Rhinolophus ferrumequinum: one gene and its partners. The protein of the gene in region 3 interacts with the protein of the main gene of each other region in a pairwise test. Links are inferred from orthologs where the notes say so. Each region holds a gene or a part of one and is shown on either strand. Other genes may lie near its edges.

The links.
Region 1: the proteins of RPP30 (region 3) and HMG20A interact in binary tests that used the Homo sapiens proteins (3 or more experiments, as listed by UniProt). The two-hybrid records come from large-scale screens. The link is inferred for Rhinolophus ferrumequinum from reciprocal best matches to the Homo sapiens genes RPP30 and HMG20A.
Region 2: the proteins of RPP30 (region 3) and RPP14 interact in binary tests that used the Homo sapiens proteins (3 or more experiments, as listed by UniProt). The link is inferred for Rhinolophus ferrumequinum from reciprocal best matches to the Homo sapiens genes RPP30 and RPP14.

What each region holds. Positions count from the first base shown.
Region 1 is NC_046289.1:100,470,106-100,478,074, reverse strand, and holds the start of HMG20A (high mobility group protein 20A), read left to right. Parts: upstream 1-4,933; 5' UTR 4,934-5,159; coding exon 5,160-5,245; intron 5,246-7,969. UniProt on the Homo sapiens protein: Plays a role in neuronal differentiation as chromatin-associated protein. Acts as inhibitor of HMG20B. Overcomes the repressive effects of the neuronal silencer REST and induces the activation of neuronal-specific genes.
Region 2 is NC_046300.1:52,911,198-52,919,079, forward strand, and holds the start of RPP14 (ribonuclease P protein subunit p14), read left to right. Parts: upstream 1-4,794; 5' UTR 4,795-4,928; exon of another isoform or gene 4,929-5,061; intron 5,062-5,067; exon of another isoform or gene 5,068-5,258; intron 5,259-7,680; 5' UTR 7,681-7,691; coding exon 7,692-7,777; intron 7,778-7,880; coding exon 7,881-7,882. UniProt on the Homo sapiens protein: Component of ribonuclease P, a ribonucleoprotein complex that generates mature tRNA molecules by cleaving their 5'-ends.
Region 3 is NC_046299.1:30,934,786-30,942,212, reverse strand, and holds the start of RPP30 (ribonuclease P protein subunit p30), read left to right. Parts: upstream 1-4,402; 5' UTR 4,403-4,430; coding exon 4,431-4,512; intron 4,513-7,113; coding exon 7,114-7,169; intron 7,170-7,427. UniProt on the Homo sapiens protein: Component of ribonuclease P, a ribonucleoprotein complex that generates mature tRNA molecules by cleaving their 5'-ends. Also a component of the MRP ribonuclease complex, which cleaves pre-rRNA sequences.

The DNA of each region.
Region 1 (7,969 bases), on a different chromosome or scaffold from region 3:
TTTTTATTGATGTATCTCCTCAGGCAAGGGAAACAAAAGCAAAAAGAAACAAATGGGACTACATCAAACTAAAAAGTTTTTGCACAGTGAAGGAAACCATTACACAAAAAGACAACCTCCTGAATGGGAGATATTCACCAACGATGCATCCGATAAGGGGTTAATATCCAAAATTATTGTAAAGAACTCATACAACTTAACACCAAAATAACTAACAATCCGATTAAAAAATGGGCAAAGGACCGAAACAGACATTTTTCCAAAGAGGACATACAATGGCCAACAGACATATGAAAAGATGCTCAATGTCACTAATCATCAGGCAAATGCAAATGAAAACCACAATGAAATCACCTCACACCTGTCAGAATGGCTATCATCAAAAAAATCAACAAACAAATGTTGGCCAGGATGTAGAGAAAAGCAAACCCTCATGCACTATTGGTGGGATTGCAAATTGGTGTAGCCAAACCGGAAAACAGTATGGAGCTTCCTCAAAAAATTAAAAATAGAACTATCTTGTGACCTAGCAATTCCACTTCTGGGTAGTTATTCCAAGAAATCCAAAACACTAATTTGAAAAGACATATGCACTCCTTTGTACTATGCAGCATTATTTACAGTAGCCAAGATATGGAAGCAACCTAAATGCCCATCGACAGACTACTGGATAAAGAAGATGTAATAATACATTTATACACTAGAACATTACTCGGCCATAGAAAAGAATGAAATATTACCATTGGTGACAACATGGATGGACCTAGAGGGTATTATGCTAAGTGAAATAATTCAGACAAATTAAGGCAAACACCATATATGCTCACTTATATGTAGACGCTAAAGAACAAAATCAACAAACAAAATAAAAAAAGACTCACTGAGAACAAACTGATGGTTGCCATATGGGAGGGGGAAGGAGCATGGGTGAAAAAGGTGAAGGGATTAAGAAGTACAAATTAGTAGTTACAAAATAGTCACGGGAATGTAAAGTACAGCATAAGGAATATAATCAGTAATATTCTAATAACTAAGTATAGTGCCAGGTGAGCACGAATCAAGGGGATCACTTCGTAAATTATATTAATTGTCTAACTACTATGCTGTACACCTGAAACTAATGTGAAATAATACTGAATGTCAACTATAAATGAAAAATAAAACTAAAGTGAATATCAAATACCTCAATACTTTCTTATATTGATTACATGTTGAAATGATAATATTTTGGATATGTCAGGTTAAATAAATGTCTTTAAAATTAATTTCTCTTTTTCCTTTTTTAATGTTAGTAGAAAATTTTTAAATAACGTGAGCTACATTTGTGGCTTGTATTGTATTTTTTCAGGACAGTGGTGTTCTAAACTGTCCTTTCCCTCTTTCTGAACCTAGATAACTCCAATTTTTGAAGACTAGCTCAGGTAACCCACTAAGAAGTATTACAGGACACTCTCGTGCCACCAAGACCCTAAGTCTTGGTGGGTAGTTAGTCAACTACCCTTGCTCCTCTGTGCTTCCATCCATAAGAATCTGCTTATACCTGTCCTACAACACATCACAATGTAATTATTGGTTATCAGCTATCTTCTCTTAAACTGTACGCTCCTTGCAAAAAGGGATATCATTCTACATATACTCAGGGCCTACCACCATGCCTAACACTTAAAAGGCACTCGAAATATGTGTCAAACAAATGTGAACTATCAATTCCTGGCCTGAAAGTTACTAGAATTTCCCCAAGGAAAACAACCAGTAATGAAGGAGCCTCGACTTTCCCAGGAGCTCTCCAGTAATGAAAGGACTCAGGTGATGGTGGGAAGTAGGAATTACTGTAAAGAGAATAGCAATGAGAAAATAAAGTTCATCACACACACTTGCCTCTTGCAGTGAAAATAGGTATTTGCAGCAATGATATGGAGCCATGAACTCACACTTGGCATGCCAGGAGCCACAGTTTGGTTTCTAAATTACTTAAACAACCCATCCAACAAAAGAGTATGATCTGGCAGGTTTCCACACAAACAGCGAGAGCCCCGCACCTGTTCCACTTACATAGCACGTCACTACAGTTAACAACAACAACAAATCTCTCTCACGAAGAAATGCTAATCTCATGATGCTTCACCATGGAGCAATTTCAAAGAGTTACTATATGAAATGTGCCAGAGCATGAATTTATGGCTGATGCTTATTTGGCAAATATGGTTGGTACTGCTAGACGTTGAAAAACATGTATGCAAATAAGCAAATCAAAGTTTTTAAGCTCACAGACTTAAATATTTACATTACCATAAATATACAAAGATAAATGTTTATAGGAATACACGCATAACACATTCCAGGAACAACTTTTTAATGTGATTGTCAGGAACAGTTATGAAGTGGCATTATTTCCTTATGGGCCTCGGGGTATGTTTAAAAATGAATTCTGACAGCATGTTAATGGGGTACAAAAATTATCAAGGACATTTCTTTGTACTGGGTAAAATGAATAGTCATAGTATAATAGTTCAAAGCAATCTTATCTTTTCCTTTCAACAAAACACTTTTCTTCGCTTCCTGGAAGCCAGCCAAGCATAAATGTCAGCCCCTCAATGGAGGGTAGAGGGATGGAGAGGAGGACCACACATCAAAAATCCTTAAAGAAAATAATCTGACATTTTTTCCCACATAATACAGCCATGTTAGAGTCTCCAAAATAAAGACATGATAAAATATTCTCTCCTCTTCCCCTCTGACAGCTATGGAAAGATGTTTGTTTTTCACATAGTTTGTGAGTTGGTCATAGCCAAAACTCACTAGCAATGGTATGAATTCTGCTTCCATTGTTAACTGTTAATCTCTGGGCTGAGACTCTAACTCCATATTTGAAGCCATGAAAATGTACCCTACTTGCCATTATAGTTTACTAAACGAGTCACCAAAGAGAAGTGCCAAGCACTTCAGAAAATAATTAAGGTAGTCAGTGAATTGCACTGTCTAGAAATGTTCTGAGATTACGGAAGCCATCAAGAAGCAGGTATCCAAGATTGCACATGGAAAGTTTTACCCCTGTGGATAATTCACGTAAAACTTCCACACCGCAGAGAGCAATATGGGTTTGCCAAATACACACATTACTACATCATTTCATTTACTTTGGTAGACAAAAATCAGTAGGTAGGCCCCAAAACAGAATCCTCAAGGCCATCCCAATTCGGGTGAAAAGCTGTTGACATACATCATCTAATGACCTAAAAAATAGCCTTGTATGTTGGTCTCCAAATATGTAATTTAACGTATACTCTTACCATATTTAACAGAGGCAGAAGGAAAATGTATTAGGCTTCCTATAGCAAGGCCAATAAAGATGAAATCTAGTTTTCCTTTAATTCGTCAAAACGCCAGCCTTCCAACAACTCCATTCCACAGCTCTCAAATTCCTAAACTTGGGTCTTAAAAATAATAACGGATTGCAAGAAAGTAACATTTAAAGGTGGGAGGGCTCCTCTTTCCTGTTGCTCTCAGCAGTCTTTAACGTCACCAAAGGACGAAACACGAAATCCAACTCTCAGACGGGTGGTGCAGGCGACGGGGAGGGAGGTGGGAAGGGGGTTCAGACCGCAAGTCCCCATCGCGGGAGGTAAGAAAAGTTGCAAGAACGGGATGAGTCAAAGGGCAAAGGAGAAACAAACCGACCAACCAAGCAAAGCCGCACGTTAGTTAGGGGGCTCACAAACCGCAGCCCCAAGTGAGCAGGCAAAGAGCCACCGGTTTCGTCCAGGCGCTGCTGGCTAGGCTGCGCCGGGTGCTCCGGGGATCGGGGCGAGACGTCCATGCGAACTTAGCAAGAGGACGGGAGCCCTTCCTGCCCCAAGCTCCCGCCGGCCAGCTCCCCCATCCAGCCTTCACTTTCCCCACCAGGCTCCCAGCCGCGCCCGGAGACGTCCGTCGCCGCCAGATCCCAACTTTCCCTCCTCTGGGGGGCGCCGAGCTACCGGGGCCGCCGCCGCTGCCGCCACCGCCGCAGGAAGGGGCGCGAGGGGGCGCGCGGTGCCGGCGGGCCCCGGGGGCACAGGGGCGGGGGGGCGCAGGGTTGGCCGGGGCCGCAGAGCCCGCGCCGGGGCCGCCGCCCGAGCCCCCGCGGCGGCGCTCCCCAGACCCCGCGCTGCCCCGCCCGGATTCCCCCCAGTTAGCGCCCTCACCTCGCGGCGACCCTGGTTCCGCAAGCCGGCGCGAGAGGAGAAGGGGACGAAGGGGACGCGGACAGCCTTGCCCCCGTTACCTGAGGGGCGCACACGCCACCGCGGTGACCACCATCGCCAGCCGGCCGGTCCCCTTCCTGCTCACCGCGGCCACCGCCGCCGACCAACTGACACTAACAACAACTAACTACTCGACGCCGCCGAGTCCACCGCGCGCTCCCGGCCGCCCGCCCAGCCCACCAGCCAGCCCGCCCGCCTCCTCCCAGCCCCGCGCACCGCCCTCCGCGCGCGCACTCGCCGCCGCGCTCCTTGAGGAGCGAGCCCGCACGCGCGCACAAGCCCTCGACCCTCTCTGCCCTGTCGCGCCTCCGTCCCTCAGGAGGTATCACCGTGAGGCCCCGCCTTCTCGTGTTCCTACCCCAATAGAATGAGACCTAGAGGGCTTCTGATTGGCTAAGGAGAGTGTGACCAAAGGAGGAGGGCGGGACGACCAGAACCTCGGGCCGGCATGAAGGGAAATTTCGGTTCAAGTAAGTTCTAGAGGAAAAGGGAAACAAAGTATTGGCCCATTTGGTGCCGGAGCCTCCTAGGTCAGCCTGCGTCGAACACGAAACTTGTGTTTTCAAGGACTCCATTCGATAGTAATTGCCAATTTAAGCTACAATACTTACTGCAGACCTTAGCAATTCTTAAAAACTACACTTCCCAGAAACCTTCGCGAAAATAAGTCTCGCTTTGCGTAGTCACGTAGTCCTTCGCCGCTTTTGAACAAAATAATCCCTTCATTTTTCGGAAGGTATTGGGAATAGTATTTCATTTTTCTCCTTACCGAAACAATTTTAAATGTTACTGCGATGAGAGAAGTTGCCTATGGGAAGATAGTTAAACAATTACGTAAAGAAAGAAGGATATCATAATAAAGTATTGCGGAGGAATTTTTTGTCAAGCTGCGAGACGACGGAGTGAGAAGAGTGAATGCGATTGAGAGGGGCTCAGAGAATTGTCCTCTGTGCAGGGACTTTCTTTAGCCCCAGGCCCCTGCCTGCCCCTATCGTCAGCAGGTCAGTAAGCAAGGCGAGCTTGGGGGTGGCCACAGTGGGGGTGCCCTTCACCCCTTGAAGACCATCGCTCTTTTGCTGTTGTTAATTGGTTTGTCTCGGGTTGAGGCCGACTGAATGGGGGCGCCTCACTTCCGGTTGGGGGAGGGGAAGAAGGCCGTCCTGGGGGAGGGGAAACAACTCACTTCCTGTGGGGTAGGGGGATGATTTGGGGGTGTCCCTCCCACACTTCCTGTGCCGGCGAGGTCTTGAAAAGGTGGTGCTTGTTGCCAGTACAGCACGTATTTTAAAGGTTTGGAATTGTGTTTTATGTGAAAAGTTAGATTATTCCACCAATTTATGCTCATCTCCAGCCTCCAGTAAGAATTTATGTGAATTTTGTTTCAATGTGTAAGATGGAAAATTTTCTCACCGACAAAATTTTCTTAATGCGCTCGCCAAAGAATAGAAACCATTTGTTAAAATTCTCTCCTCCTCTTTGCGAAATGACATGCTGTACTTTCTTGTGTAACTCGTAATTGTCCAGCTCTGCTCCCCGACTCACGTCCAACCTTCACCGACAGGTTTAGTGTTCTCTGCCTTGACATGACACAGGAACTCTACAGAACGCGACATTTTACATAAATTATGAGGCATGTTCACCTTACCGGAGTGAAAGTATCATACTGAAGTACTCAAATACTTGGTGTTGCCTTAATTGATATGGTATCTTAAATTTCCTAAACCTGTTGATTTTGGACTACAGGGTTTGCCCTGTGCCTGAGAACAACTTCCTCAGACTTAAAAATAATCATAATTGTAACATGTAGCATTTGTGAAAGTTAGCCGAATACATTTTCCCCCTTTGTGATTTAATTAAATTCAGATCAGTTCAACAGCCGTATCTATTTGTTCTTTGGGGTTTTAAAGCATGGTGCAAGAATCAGGAGATTCAGCCCAGATTTTAAGTGGGGGGCGGGGGGAATTTGGTTCACAAAGGACAAAAGATGATTAAGAAAAAAATTTCTGTTTCCTATATTATCAATGGTTTATAAGTAACTATATGTGAAGTGGAATGAACACTCAACAATTTTTATTTCTTGGCTTCTGTTTTCAAGTACCACAATACTTGGGGTGGGTGGATGTATAACGAAGGAATCAGTCTATTTGGAAATTACGAAATCTCAACAACTGTAGCAATTTTAGAATATCAAGTGAACTGTGATGTTCTTCAAGGATTTTTAAAAGAATGAAGCCAGTGTATTTTTTTCTTTTGAGATTGTTACCTAATCTGTCCTCAGAATTTGCAATTATTTTAATTCTAGTTCTTTTAAAAAGTTACTTTGTTTAGAGTTTATTAGAAAATGTTTTAAATTACATGTTACAATAAAGGGAAAAAATATGTTTTAACCTTCTGTAGACAAGAAAGATCTAAGACCCTAAAAATCAATGAGTTATCTTTTTAAAGACTACCACATTTCTGCAGTAGTTGAAAAGGCAAGACAAAATGTCTGTTGTCATTATAAGGTTACAGACATGTAGACTGCCTCAAGTATTAATTAATTGCTTAGAGAGAAGGTGTTCACTGTCTTCTATATTACTGTAATATAGAGGAAAATATGATATGGTCATTCTGACAAATTAAACTGTTAAACTATAGTATTAGGAATTACTGAAGTAAGTAAAGATTGGAACTAAATGAAAAAGAGAAAACATCGTTAAAATATTGATTGAGATAGTAGTATTGCCTTTTGGAAACTTCGGAAAGCAAAGAAGTTTTTTAAAAAAGAAAGCAAAGTTGATTAAATTGGTTTCTGTGCTGTTTCATGGAATAAGTGCAGTGTAATAGAAATAAGAAAAATTGCTGGGGTTGAAAGACTTGAGCAGCTTGAAAAACTGTTCAGAAGATTGCAATATATAAAGCACATATCTGAGAAAGGATGTTTTGTGATAAGTGGTAGTTATTCATTGGTTCCATCCAAAAAGAAATACTAGAAAAGCTTGTGAAAAATAAAGGGAAAGTCATGGAACCTGCGAACCTGCTTTTAATTCTCTCTAAAAGTGTTTCTGTGAAGAGGATTGCTATCTCCCAAAGGCTTTTTTTTTTTTTCTTAATGCTTTTTGTTGCAGTTTTCTTTGCATGTTCTAATAGAACCATACTATCAAAGTTAGAAAAATGCTTTTGTAAGTGTGCTCTTGTTACATCTTTGAGTTAATGAATTTGAGATTTTCATTCTATTAGTTGCCATCTATAATAAAGAACTTGTCCATTTTTAGAGTGTTTAGATTAGATAACCAGAAGCAGTCATTTGGATACACTGTTCACAGAGGTTTGAAATATTAAAGCAGTAAGTCAAAATTCTGTATTTCATCTCAGTGACATTTGATTAGCCACAAAACACTAGACACCATATATAATGCAAAAGTGTCTTTTCATTCTTTTGTCTACCTTTTTTTGTAAAATCATACTAATGTTTTACAACTATAACTTTTTCGTGTGTTGTTTTAGTAGATTTTGCCATGAGGTCAAGTGTTAAAGAGAGTCTCCTAATAACTTGAATGGTTTTTGAATGGTTTTTAAACTTATTACTCTGCAATCTTTACCTGTACTTCAGGGCCTTCAAGAGTGTTCAAATGAGAATACCTCTTACATGACTTTTTGTGATTTCAACAAAAGTTTACTGTGGGCCTACTGTGTGCTAATCACTGTATTAGGGACTTGGAGTGCATCAGTGAACACAGACAAAT
Region 2 (7,882 bases), on a different chromosome or scaffold from region 3:
TCTCCTCTCCAAATTCTCCTTTCCTGGGGTCCTGGGGCCTCTTTAAGGGAGAGGTTTCTAACTTCACTTCAGAGGAAAGGCTCCTCCACTACTTAAGTAAGTACCTTTCAAAAATGCTGGATGAAACGAAGTTAAATAGCCCAGTTCCATCTCTAGCCCCAACACAAGCAGGAGAATGACTGCAGGAGCAAAAAACGTCCTCAGAAGGCAGCTAGGGAGGGGGCTGGAAGCGGGGACCAGGCTATCCTGAGGATGCTTTGGACATAAGAGTCTGGGCAAGAGCTGCTGGTCGTTTTTACAATTGACTGGTGAGCTGCCCCCAGAGTCCCTGCCCATAGTGGGTGCTGCTGATGTTCTTCCCAGGTCCCTTTACTGACTCCTGCACCCAACCCCCACCTCTGCGGGTGTTGGCTGCAGAGGGCTCACAGCTGCCCTTTCCCCCAGAAGAACCACCCTCAGATGACTGGAGATACCTGAGAGATATGCCACATTCACTTCCTCTCACCTGCTATGGTTGCCAGATAAAATACAGGACGCCCAGCTAAATTTAATTGCAGATAAATGAGTACCTTTTTAGTGTAAGGCTATCCCATTCATCGTTTATCTGAAACTCTAATTTAACTGGGCAATCTGTATCTTTTTTTTCTTCTAAATCTGGCAACCCTATAGCTGGCAGTCAATGACTGACTGTGGGGGGGAAGGGGTGTTGCGCATGAAGGCTTGGCCTCCTTGCCTCCAAGGCTGGAAGCTTTCTGGTATCATTTATGCTCTAGGGCTCCCCTGCAGGATTAGGCTAAAGCTAGACTGCAGCTGAACTCATTTGCTTAGCTTCTTCCCCTACCCCATCCTGTTTCCTTCTTCCCTTAAGGGTTTCACACAAAATAGCTGTCCCCAAAAAATAACTTCCATGGAGATCCCTGTCTCAGGTTTGGCTTCTAGGGCCTCGGACGCACTGGCTGCTTTTCAAAGCTTCCCGTTTGGTGATAATGCTCCGGGTTGCCTCAAAAGAGCAGCTCCCAGCCTTGCGTTCACATGGGAAGGATGGAATACAGCATTTTAGGCTCTAGGGCCTCTCACCGCCTTAGACAAATGACTTATCTTCTAGAGCTACTTTTCCTCATCTGTGAAAGGCAATAATAATAGTGACATTGCAGGGTAGATGGGATAATGTGAGCAAACTGTCTAGCACTTGGCCGGTCTCCCTAAATGGAAACAACAGCTGCAGTTTCATAGCCTTTAATGTCTGATCATTTTCACTTCCTTTGTCCTATCTTCACAGGCTGCTGACATAAATGGATACAATTCCCGTGTGATTGATGGAGAATTGTGGCTGTGAATGTTAAGGGACTGTCATCCTACTCGGGCTTCTCTCTTGCCTTTTTCCCCCAAATTGTGAACGCTCCTCAACTTTGAGCAAAATCCATTTGGCACCAGTTCACAAGGCAGGGAGGGGAGCTGACAACAGCCACGCGGGTGGAAGTATGGACTCATCACTTTCTTGACTGCCATAGCTTCCAGATGCATAAAAAACTGATGCAGGTGATGTTGGATCTGAAAGCAGTTTCTGAGTGTGGGCCGGGATCGTGTCGCGTGAAGCCGAAGAATGGAAATACGGACCAGGGAGAAGCAAAAAGTTTTAAAAAGAGGATAGTTTATTAGAGGCAGGAGAAGAGGTTGCAGCTCCGGAGTGGGAGGGGGGTCCCGAATGGGGAGTGCCCCATGACTGAGGCAAAAGTTCTTACTTTTATACCGTCCCTTGCCTGCTTGGGGAAGGGGAGCTGTTTGAAGAAGGGAACTGGCGCCTTCTAATGAAATTCGTCTACCAGGTTTGTTCTGCTTACCCATCCTAAAGGAATCAGCAAAGTAATCCACTCTTATCTATCAGATCTGCTCCATTTGTCAGGCCAAAAGGAATTTTATGATTAACCTCAGGGCCTTGTTACATTATGTCCTAGAGCAAAGGAGTGATTTTAAAACCTGAAGTTTTAGGATATGGCTGTCTTTTGTTTATTCCACCAGGGACCTCCCTGTCAACCTAGGGACATGCTAACTTTCCTGTATCAATACGAGCAGATCCTTCCCAACAACTTTGCTCTGAAATGTCAGATACAGAGAGTATCCAGAATGGCCCCGTTTGAGCCAACTGACTTCACCCAATGCAATGCTGGGCAACTTTTATAACGACTGAGGCAGTCTTGTGTATTTTGATTTGGAATAATATTAAGATACCTTGTTAAGAAGGGAAAGCACCCCCTACCATATCTCTGGGGAGACACTTAAGAAATTCATACTAGTTGTTGCTCATGGGGAAGGGGTGGGAAGGAGACTTACTCTTCATTGCTTATCCCTTTATACCATTTGAAATGTATGCCGAAAGCCTCAAGTATCTACTCAAAAAATAAAATTGAATGGAAAAACAAAGGTCAACCAACTATTTTATCCCAAACTCTGACAGCACTAAGAGGATTCAGGCGGTGTGAAAGGCACTTCATTTTCAGGGTTTGGTTCAGGAGAGTGAAAATTATTCAAGTTCTTTGAAGTCCAAAATATAAAGTGTGATCAAAACATATGGTGAATATTTGTTTATTTATGTATTCATGTTTACTTATTTATTTTTTTAAGGAGGACACAGCTCACAGTGGCCCATGCAAGGATCGAACTGGCAACGCTGGTGTTACCAGCACCACGCTCTAACCAACTAAGCTATCTGATCACCCCACGGTGAATGTTTAAATTTAAAAAAATTATTACAGTAAAAGACACATTGCCATTAATCCCCCGCAAAATACTCCCCCTCACTTCGAACACACTTATCCCATCATTCTTGCCACTTTCTGAAGCAGTTCTGGAATTCTTCTTTCGTGTCTTTAGTTGCACTGTCATGGCAGCCTCAAGGTCCTGAATCGATTCAAAACGTTTACCTTTCATGGTCATTTTGACTTTGGGGAAGAGCCAGAAGTCACACAGTGCCAGATTCGGTGAATAAGATGGATGAGGACACACCGTACTGTTTTTATTTGACAGAAATTGCCCTACCAGAAGCAATGTGTGACACGGCGCCTTTCCGATGTGATCAAAACATATGGTGACTGCTGCTGTCAAATGCCATCCAACGGAAAGGCAGGGATCTTCAATACAGGAAATGGTGCGTCGCACCTTAGTAACAGTGGGACGTTTCAACTTGTTCCCTGCAGTCGGGCGTGAGCTACAGTTCAGAGATGTTTTAAAGTGTGCCATACATCATTCTCCATCATGACAATGCTCCATGTCACACATCATTTCTGGCATATGACAATTTCTGTCAAATAAAAATATACGGTGTGTCCTCATCCATCTTATCCACCGAATCTGGCACTGTGCGACTTCTGGTTCTTGCCCGGCATCAAAATGCCTCAGGACATCAAAGCAGCCACGAAAGCGCAACTAAAGACACTCATGAAAGAGGACTTCCAGAACTGCTTCAGAAAGTGGCAAGAACGATGGGTTTGAAGCGAGGGCGGGGGGAGGGTAATAGCAATGTGTCTTTTACTGTAATAATTTTTTTTTATTTAAACATTTGCCGTATTGTTTGATTACACCTCATACAGGAGCTGCGTTGGTTTTGATGGGCTGCAGCCTGGCAGGATGGATTTGCCAGGCAGCTGATTTAGGCAACTCTCTTCCATTCCAGAGTGTTGCCGGGTGCCAGATACTTTACACCACTTTTTTTGCCTCACAACTCTGAGGTAGATGCTATTCATCTCTCCATGTGATAGATGATGAATCTGAAGCTAATTTTGGCAGCATCTGAAACCCATGCTTTTTTGAGAAAGAAAATGCCACTGTTTGTGGGGTCTGTTTTGATTTCCTCAACCTCTCCTGAAATCTGGAACAAGTCCTGTCTCCTCTGAGGGGCAGTGGTAAGCCAGTGGAGACACGGGCCCATCCCCACGGTGCTTACATTCGTTCTGGCAGCCCCAGCCACTCTCCCAAATACTCCCTGCCTCATCCCACACGATCGGTGGTAATACCATGCTGCAGTGTGGAGAACACCATCTGGAGTCAGACGGCCCACTTTACAATGACACACTTACCGTTGTGTGATCTTGGGCAAGGCACTGAGCCTCTTTTGCCTGTTTCCACCTCTGTAAAATGGGGATGATCACAAGGATAGCTACATTAGGATAGTGTGAGCGCTCCGTGAGGTAACATATATAAAGCTCTTTGCATAGTGCCTGGCACAAAGTACGCACTTGATAAATACTAGCTGTTATTATTGTTATTATTAAATACAAGAGCTGTTTCATGAGTACAGAAGCCTTTCTGTTCTCCGCTGAATCCTCAGTATCTAGCACATACAAGGAGCTCGGCAAGTACTTAATGAATAAATGCGTAGATGAAATTTGGCTTACATTTGTAAATGGGACCATCTGGGTCTTTTTTGTCAACTCCAGCCGACCGAACACCTACTATGTGCTGTCAGCCACGAGAGACATTGAGAGCAGGTCGTGTCCTTGGTGAGTAATGACATAGATGCCCAGCAGAAGAGATGCTCGATATAAATTTACTGAATGAACGACTGCATGGATAAATGAATGACTATGAAGCAAGCTTCCTGGGAAAATAAACAGGCCCTGAGTCCCGTACCCCATGCAGACATTTGCACACGCGGTTTTCTCCGGAGTGGGCACCAGAGGGTACTGAGCTCGGCAGGCCCCGGCTCCTGAGAAGGACTCACTCTTGGGTCCTTAGGAGGACTCCTCGCGGTGACGTCACATCCGCGCCTAGCCGCCACGCATCCGGGGGGCGGGCAGACTAAAGCCGAACGTGAACCTCCCCGGAGTTTCCCGGACTCAGGCTCAAGCCTCTGCAGGGGAGCTCCAGGCCTTGGCGGATTCTCGCAGTGAACAGGAGTCAGGGAGGCGTCAGCGCAGTCCCGCGAAGAACGGGTAGGCGGAAGCCCATAGCAGAGCGGCTGTTTTCCGGGACTGGGCTTAGTCGGCCGGCGGGTGACGCAGGCCGCGCGGCCTAGGCCGCATGCGCAAGACGAGAGTGACGGCGGGCGGCGCAGGGTGGCCTGAGGTAGGTTTCCGCTTCCGCGGAGGACCCGGCGGCTGGAAGGCGAGGCCCGGCCGCGGTCCTTCCCAGGCCTCTGTACCAGGCGGTCGCGGAAGCAGAGCGTGGCTGTGACAATGGTGCTGAGCGCATGCTCTCGGCGCCAGCTGGACGCCAAATGGACGTTAATCGAAAAAAGTTGAAAACGACTTAAGTGCGCAACAGTAGGGGATTTAGCTTTTTTATTTTTAACGTCATTGATTTAGTCCAAAATTTACATATGGAGTGCTTACTATGTGCGATGCACTGTTTTAGGTTCTTGGGAAACAGTGAACAAGACAGATCCCAGTTTCTTGTGGAGTGTACATCTGTTGGGATGGGGAGTACAAACAAATGAAATTACGTAGTTATATTAGAAGGTGGTGCGTGCTGTGAGAAGAGTAAAGTAGGAGCATGGTGGGAGGGGGTGCCGTATCAGATAGACACTGGATCAAATCGAGGGGTCAGATTGGAGCGACGCCGTGAAGGAGGCAAGGGAGTGAGCCATGTGGCTGGCTGGCTACCTGGTGCAAGAATGTTCCAGCACGCAGAGAAGCTGGGAGCGAGGCCCAGAGGCGAGAGGGAAACTGCAGTGTGAGGAAGAGCTAGGAGGCCTGTGTGGGGAAATGGCAGGACACGAGGTGCAGATCAGGTAGGGCCTTGCAGGCAGGCGGCTGTAAGGACTTGAGCTTTACTCTGAGGGAAACGGCAACCATTGCAAGGTTTTGAGTAGAGGAATGACGTGACTCGAATAGGTTTTAATAGGCTCACGATGGCTGTAGTAGAGGCTAGTTAGAGGAGGGAAGCAGGGAGAGCAGTTACTAACGGATGAAGTAAAGTGTGTCTGTAGCCATTTAAAAGGCTGATTTCAAAGGTGACGACGGCAATGACTATATAGAAGTGCCCACATTTTTGTGGTGAGCCTGGTGAATATGCCAGGCTGTAGGAAGGGCTTCCCAGGCATCCGTCTTTTTAAGTCTCAGGACAGCCCGCAGAGGGCAGTGCTCTCATTGACCTTGAGGCTCAGGCTTGTCCAGCGAGAGGTGATTGCTCAACACTTGCTCCTTAAGTCTGAGTGTGTGTGGGGGTGAGAAACACAACAAAATTGACCATTTTTTTAAATGTACAATTTCTTGGCATTAAGTACACATATTGTGCAAGTATCACCACTATCCATTTCCAGAATACTCTGTAAATCTTCATTGTTACTGGCATCCTAAACCCCAGGCCTAATCTCATTCTCCTACCTCAGGCAGCCAATTCTGGCAAGTTAGTCGGTAACACTTAAAAAACACCTATCATGTGCCAGGCAATGAATGAAATGATTGAGTCCTGTTCTCCCTGCCATTCTAGTCACAGGAGACTAGTGGTTGGTAACCATTGCCGCAGTCCTGAAACCAAAGATGCTCTTGAACGTACAGGCCTAACACCTCTGTCATTCAGTCATGTATTCAGTAAGTTGGTCGAATGCCTGCTCTGTGCCAGACACAGTAAATATTCACGTTTGTTGAATGGCTGGCTGTAGTTCTTTTACCCTGACTTCTCATTTTCTCTGGTGGTCACTATCTAGGAGTGGTCGGAACTGGCCTGAACCAGAGGATTTTGCAAATGCTGGTCTATAGCGATGTGACCTTGGATAAGTCCCTTTCCTTGGTAGTGCCTCAGTTTCCTGGTTCCTATGTGGGGGGACTAGGTATTAAATAGACAATGTTAAGAGATTGCATAACAAGGGAACCTAACAGAACAGAGTGCCAAAGAAGGCTCCCCTGAAGAGGTGAAAGTCCTGGAAGAAATGAACTGTAAGCTAAAATTCGCAGGATGAGGAGGCACTATGGAAAGGGAGAGTAAAGTGGGAATGGAGCCAAGGACAGGGATTCTCTACAGGGGGAGCAGCGTGTTCTGAGTTCTTGAAAGTTGCAGATCTGTTAGAAATGGCATGGAGTGCCCATCCCAGGAATTCCTCGCCCCAAACCCGTTGCTGTTTAAGCTCAGTCTTTCATGGGGCTGCCACATAGCCCTCTGTTGACCTGGCCTGATGGAAAGAACTTGCAGATCCAGTCAGCAGAACTGCTACCCCTCGTTCTGTTCATGTTCTGTGTTGGCTGAGAGTAAACAAGAAGAGGGCCTTCAGATCCCAGATTTACTCCTTTATGTTTTTACTTTTTTGGATTAAGAGGCATCATACCAGAGGGTCATGAAGGCGCTAGGAGTGGTTGGAATCTTTGTTCCCTTGCGCAGGTGTTCCTTATCTTTGCCAAGCTTCAATGTCCTCCTCTCAAAGATGGAAATAATAATAGCTTTTATCTCATAGGATCATTTTGAAGACATGACCTAAGGCATGTAAAGCATTTAGCACAGAGCTGGGTACTCAGTAGGGGAAAATGTTCGGTGGGGTTATGTTATTAGAATTTAAATAATACACTTGTCTGGCATATATGAAATATAGAAACTTCCTTTGTGTCTGTATGGGCAACCTTAGTTTGACCAGAATTAAATGAGTTACAGTCCTTAGGAGTTCTTTAAAAAATCAAATAGGTCGAATTCTCATTAACAAAGTGAAAAGTAGCTTGTACCTTGTTAATTTCTAACCCTCTTGACACAACGTAGGTGTAATCAGCATGGAAATGATGCCAGCCCCAGCTGCCACATATGAAAGAATAGTTTACAAAAATCCCTCTGAGCACCACTACATGAAAGTCTGCCTGTAAGTTCAGTCTCCTAAATTCTATTTTTGATTACTTATGTATGAATCTGAATAGCATGAAGTTTAATACAAGGTATTTTTTCTTTTGTAATGTTTTTTACAGAG
Region 3 (7,427 bases):
TAAACTGGCTAAAATTTGGTGTGTTGGCAAAATCTTGTCACATTGTGCTTATGTTGCATAAGTTTGATGTTAACACTGACCCCTGCAGGAGTCAGTGTTAGTTATGGTTACCAATTCTGACAAGTCTACTTTAAAATTCTCAAAATTCTCCATATACAAAAATTAGCCACTTCCTAATGGTGTGTCTATTTTGTGCACCATTTCCAAAAGATATTTAGGCAAGTCAAAACTCTCAACGATTAAAATAGCTTTTATAAATCTTCTTGCTTATCAGCTTCCATAGAAAATACCAGAAATAATTTCTGCATGCAATTTATGCTGCAAATTCCTAGCTATATCTCCAACATAGTGAGCAATAGAATTTATAGTTATTACATTTGCAAATGCTAGTTTCTGTTTAGGACCTGTTCTATCTTTTGCCTTCACTAAATATTATTTGTAAACTTGCCTTCAATAAAAAGTTTTAGTTCTCTGAGCAATTTTTTTTCCACTTAATATGCAACAATTTCAAGGCAGCATCACCGTGATGGTTAATTTTACCTGTCATCTTGACGGGGCCGTGGGGTACCCAGATATTTGGTTAAACATTATTCTGGGTGTATGTATGATGTTTCTCCTGGATGAGATTAGTATTTGAAATAGTAAACTGAGTAAAGCATGTTAACCTCCCTAATATAGGTGGACGTCATCCAATCTGTTGAAGGCCTGAATAAAACAAAAGGGCTGACCTTTCTTCGAATAAAGCAGGATTCCTCCTGCCTGCCTGCCTGCTTTCAAATTGGGACAATGGCTTTTTCCTGTCATTGGACTCAAAGTGAAATATCAGCTCTTCCTGCATCTTGAACCTGCCTGCTTTCGTACTTAAACTACACCATCAGCTCTCCTGGGCCCACAGCTTGCCAGCTGATTTGGAACTTGTCAGCCTCCATAGTCATGTAAGCCAATTCATATATATATATATATATATATATATATATATATATATATACATATATATATATATATACACACACACACACACATATCACACACACATATGTATGTATGTATGTGTGTATATATATGTATATACGTATGTATATATACGTATATATATGGTTCTGTTTCTCTGGAGAACCATGATTAATACAATCATTTATTCTACTTGCATTAAAAAGTCAACCTGTTGCAATTTCAGTCCTTTTCTTTCCACTCGTTAAGTTTATCATCAAATATCTTTTCTGTATACCAGTCATAATTCTTCCTTTGATTTCTTTCATAATGACTTCTTAAGTTGTATTCTTTTGTCATGGGTATATATTACATCTTAAACACATAAGAATACTCTTTATTTTCACACTGCTGATTTTTATAATATACAAGCCTTCAACATCTGTCTTTCATTTTCAAACTTTTGATGGAAACATAGATACAAAAAATAGCTCACTTTCATATTAATTGAACTTAAAAAAAACAAAACACCTAACATTGCAAGCAGGGATAGACTACCCCAACTCGTAAAATGGACATTCTCATGATACCAGGCCAGTAATGGGAGTTTCTGGGGGAAGACAAGAAGAGGAGGGAGGGATTATTGAGAGAGACTTCCTGGATTGGTGATGTCCTGTCAAGTCCCATTAGAGTTCTAGGGTTAGCAATTAACTCCTCTAGGATGCTTTACCAGGGCCTCTGGGGGAAAACTGGGCAGCGGTTTACTGCACAAACCTACCAGGCATGTGGTGAATAGGGGCAAATGCAAGTCTGCCTGGAGGAAGGGCATCTTTTTTGACCTGTCCAGGAGTACCTGTAAGTGCTTCATCATTGGAAACAAGAAAGGGGGTTCTGTTTGAGTAGCTGGTGTATCATGCGAGTGTACAACATGCACAGTTCAATGAATTTTTTGGCGAATGTGTTTTCAGTGAATGTGTTTAGATAACTGGATACATCCAACAGTGCTATAATTGTGTTGATGTAGGTTCAATCATTAATTCTCCCACTTTTGACTGAGTATCACCTACTTTGGACCAATTCTGGATACACCCCAGACCTCTACATCTTATTGCTCTTCAATTTCATGCATTAAAATTTAATTCAAATATTACTTCCTATAGGAAATTGTCCTTTATCCTCTCCAAATCTCTTAAACTCCCCTCAATCTGGGGGAGAAGACCCTGCCAGATGCTCCTGTCACATCTGTGCAAATTATGTACCTCACTTTCTTGCCTTGCCCCACCTCAGCCTTAAGCTGCCAGAGGACAGGGGCCTGGTGGCATGTTTCTCAGCTCACGCAAGAGAGGGAAACCAAGTTAAAAGAGGTGAAGACCAAAGACTAACTGAACACACACTGACTTTTATTGTAGGTCCCAGCCCGAGAAAGAGAAGACTTAGGGAGACTGAGAAGGGCTCAAAGCTTGCTTTGAATGCCAAACCCACCCTCTTTCTAAGTTTCCCAAGGAAGAAGCAATGACTTGAATCACCCTCTCTGAACCCAGGACTCCTTCTTGATATAATAGGAACAACAGTATTCCTCTCATCTGCTGGTTGTGAGGATTAAATCAGATAATGGAAACAAAGTACTTAGAGTGGTTAGACAGTACTATTATTCTCTAGTCAGAAATTTCCATGGTCTTCTTCAAACTTCAGATCCTTGCTGCCTCAACTACTCTCCAAGCCAGCATCAGCCCCTCTTCCTTGTTCCCTATTCTGTCTTATCTTTTCCCTCTTCTCACTCTTTCCTTCCCTCTTCCACTCCTTCCTCTCTGTCCTCTTTCCCTACTTCCTCTTTCCTTTTCCTCCAGCCCTCCATTCTTTTCTTCCTTTCCCTCCTCTTCTCTCCCTCCTCCTTTCCAACCCTCCAACTCTCCTTTCTGCTTGCTTTGCCTGGGAGAGACCATATCCGAAGTGAGAACTGAACCACATCTCCTGGGACCACATATAGTTCAATCACTGTTATCTAAGCCTTAGATTTCTCCAATGGAAAATGTATTTATTGCTAAAAAAAAAAAAACAACAGTACTTAATTCACAGTTGCTTTGAATAAGCTATGTGGGTGAGTACTTAGCAAATTATAGTTCTACAATTTTATGTTGTTGGAGAATTGATTTATCAATCTTTGAGAGTTCATTTATATGAAGTCCAAAAATGTGGAAATATTAAATGTGTGGGATCCACACCACTGTTGACCCTGAGAAGGAATATACCTGTCAAAACGGACTCCTTGTGGTTAATTGGGCCCAAATTCATAATCAGAGTCTGGCAACCATTGTTTACAGAAGCCTTTCACGCACACAGCATTTCAGGAAAAAGCAAGAGACTGGGTTGCCAAGTCTCCTATACTGTGTTCCTGCTATTTGAGTCAATCCTTATAAAGGAGTTCCTGGTATCATAGTTCAACCAACAGGCTGAAACTTGCAGCTATATTCTCATTTGCATCTTTACTGACCAATCAGAACTGCTCCATACAAACAATCAGAATGCATGATTCTGACTAAACCAGACCATGCTATTCCGATAGAACTGTGTAAATTTGGATTCCTCATTTGAAAATGGACCAATCAGGGACCAGAGTGGACACTTTCTCTGGATAAATAGGTCTCCCCTTTGTCTCAGGGGATCCTACTTTCTATTCCCTCCAGAGGCTGTGCTGTGTTTCCCAAGTGCAAACCTGAGTAAAGTTTTTCCTTTACCACACCCCAAATTGGGACTCCTGTTGGCACTGGATTAGTGGCAGTGAACTTTGGTTGACACCACCGTCTACATTTCTCAGCTGGAAAATTGTAAAACATTTCCATTTTGCAACTCCCTTATCCAATCTATCTCTGGCTAAACCAGTGTTGGAGCTAACTGCTCATCCTAGGAAGAGCCCTGACATATTGTGGTTGAAGACGTTGTTAAGTGTGATGGCTAACAGCATGCTACATCACCACCAGTTCTGATTGGGCAAGAAGACGCTTTCCTTTTCTTGGGGAGTCCTCTTTCCTCCTTTGAGGTCTTCAGGTCAGATTCCCCCTCTTTCCAATAAGCCCATTTTAAACAACAGAATGAAGTTCAGGGGAAGGAAAGAAGAATGAGTTCTTTATGAGTTTTTGAAAAGCATTTCCAGACCTTAGTAAAAGTGTCTGGTTCATGATAGGCGCTCAATGAATGCCGTATACAAGCATTTTGAAATCACTTTCTACAATATTTTATAGGGGGAATGGTGGGAAATTTGAACCCCGGTGTGAGAAACAACGTTCTCATTCAAAAGAAGACAACACAGGATTGAAGTGAAGCTGTTGGTTTCAATACACTAATATTTGCTGGTACTTGAAAGTGAGGCTAGTGCCTGCGAACCTTGAATAGTCAACTAAAGGGAGGGACTTATCGTTCAGGTAAACTACAATTCCCAGCATGCCTCAAGGCAGGCCCAGCCCCGGCGCAAACGGACGTACGGGCGGTCATGTGACTTAAGCATGGCGGTATTTGCAGATTTGGACCTGAGAGCGAGTTCAGACTTGAAGGCGCTGCGTGGTCTCGTGGAGAACGCCGCTCATGGTGAGTTGCCCCGGTTTCGCGGATCGTGGTGCCTGCCCAGCTACATTCGGGAGTGTCCCGGCCAGGCCGGTCCTCGTTCGTGTCTCTGGGACGTCCCTGGAAACTGATGCCCATCGCGTTGTTGCTCGGATACCGAGCGCTGGAAACTCAAAGTCAGCTGTTGGCGAATCTAGCTCCTTCTTACCTGCAAATTGAGGAAATTGGGGCCCTCCCTGAGAAGGTGGGGGGATTTGCATAAGTCCCCACAATTGATGGATGGCAGAAGCCAGGGCTTCCAAGTGTAGTCTCTCACCCAGTGCTTTTAATATCACCCTTTTCTGCCTCTCAGGACAGTGTCAGAGCAAATGCGGCAAGCTGGTGCAGACTGGGAGTACTGTGTGGGCTTAGAGAACGGGGAGGGACGTGGGAGTGCGAGTGTTGGAATAATATTTAGAGGGAGGGTAGGTAGGGGAGAACGTACTAGGATGGGGCGAAGGAAGCAGCATGGCCAAAGTGCTAGAATGGTACTCATATTTGAATCCAAGGTAAGTGGAATCCTTGAGAGATAAGAGCCTGTTTAATTACTGGAATTGTGACTGCTGTTTTCTTCCTTCGATTTGGAGATAGAAAAGTTTAAACATAAAGAAGTTTTTGCAGTAAGATCCATTCCTCAGTTCTCAGCTCTGTGAGAGCTGGTAATGATACGCTTCATAGATGGTGCTAGATAAAGCCACTCCTTGGCAAAGTGGATTACACCATTTCTTCTTGTCCCCTTTGTTAAGTGTCCCAAGGGAATTGACGGTCTCTTTCCATTGCAGCCACGAATTAGCATTGTCTCTCTAAGAATACTTTGCACAAGTAGAAAGGAGCGGGGTAGACATGATGATCTGGGTAGTTTAGCCCTACTATTCTTTGATGGTTCCTTTAAAAAACAATTTTGTAATTTAATTTCTCTTGTATTACTTCCTCAATGAAGCTTTTCCTGATGCCATTCCCTTGCTGCCTGAATCATGATTTTCTTTAGAGAGGGGCCATGGCTTTCTATTTATTCTTTTATTTATTTCCTGTGCTCAGCAGTCACTCAGCAGCCCTGTGGCATGGTAGTTACTCGGTTAATGCTTATGGAATAAATTAATAAACTGAACACCTTTTACAAAATACACAAAAGTTGTAATATTTTGTTTAGAAAATTGCCCCGATGTAAAATGTGGTGGAAGAATATACATTAAGGTGTATATACGTTGTTACCTAGTCTGTTTCTTTAAAAATTAAATGAAAGTCATGACATGACAGAAAGTCACTCCAACTTATAAGTCAAAGGTAGAAATTGGTGAGTGGAAATTTTCAAAGAATAATGAAGACAGAGCCCTGGTTCTTAGTTTATGATATGATATAACAAATCAATGATAAGCTTTAGAAATATGGTATATAAATAAAAATGTCACCACAGGTTGATTGGGGAAGTACTCTTAAGATGCCAGATGGGTAGTCTAGGAAAAGTTGGTGGAGAAATTGATTCTAGTTGATATTTCTGAAGAACAGTAGAGACATTGTTTAGTGGCCAGAAGGGGGAGTTATATACAAGTTATATATAAGTTATATACAAGTGTGTTATATACAAGTGTGTATAACAAAAAAGCTTAGAGAAGACTTGGGAGTATGGTAAAGAAGAATGGTGGTGGCGGGGGGTCAGGTGCAGGTTGGTTGATTTGACTGAGTGAGTGAAAGATGAAGCCCAAAGTACTGTACAGGCAAATTTCTCTTATCTTCTGGTTTTTCTGTATGCTCAACATGTAGCACAGGGCCTGATAAGTAATGAATACCCAATAAATATTTGAGTGAGGAAGAAAAGAAGGAAGTTGGACAAACTGATGAGAGGAAGAACCACTATTTTGGCATTAATATACATTATGTTTTAATATCCTGTCACCCCCGTTATTTAAATAGCTTAAAGATCGGAGTCATGATTTTGACATTTTTGGTAGTCATGGTGTACAAAACAGTGATCTGTGTTGATGTTAATAAAGCAAGACCTTGGCCTCAAAGGGTTCCCAGTCTTGATGGTGAGTAGCTCGAAAGGGGAAGTGGACAGTGGTGTCAGGGAGTCATTACTCTGTTTCTCCTTAGGAGAAAGGCCTCTGAAGGAAGTCGGGAGGGTAAAAAGCAAAAGAAATGAATGAGAATAAAGGTGACGGTGAAAAGGTATAAAGTTGATGGGACGAAAATGAAAAAAGGAACTTGAAAGAGAATGGTGGTTGGGAAGGAGACACACAAAGTGAAGGGTGTTTAGTATCATGCTAATACTACATTACAGAAGTCAAACAAAGCCTTAAAACTTTTTGCCAGGCACTGTTCTAAAACACCCAAGTGTATTATCTCATTTAATTCTCATACCAGGCATCTGATAAGTTCCGTTATTATCACCATTTTGATACTTGAAGAACCTGAAACTTCTAAGTGGTAATGTTTAGACTTGAAAGCAAGCAGTCTGACAACAGAGTCCATACCCATGTCACTCTGCAAACTTCCTCCTAGTCTTGACGTCCAGAATTGGGATGGGCCTATGTGTATAGGAAAGAGAGGTTGTCATATTTAACAAGAATGTTCAATTTTTCTTTTCAGTTGGCTATTCAGTTGTTGCCATCAATCACATTGTTGAATTTAAGGAAAAGAAACAGGTAAAGTACAATTTCTGAAGTTAGTAATTAGTTTTTATAATTATTTATGTTTATATTGGTAATATGGAAGCTACAGATGAGCATATTTATTTGCATTTCTTTTTAAGAGCACTCTCTGTGCACTGTTCTTATTTTACATAATGTTGAGCTGGTGCATATTTGTACAAATGATAGTTTTTTTGTGTGTGATGTGAGGATTCTTAAAGTTATTTAATGTTAATTAAGTCACTTTCAATAAGTTAAAAAGTGCATTGTTAT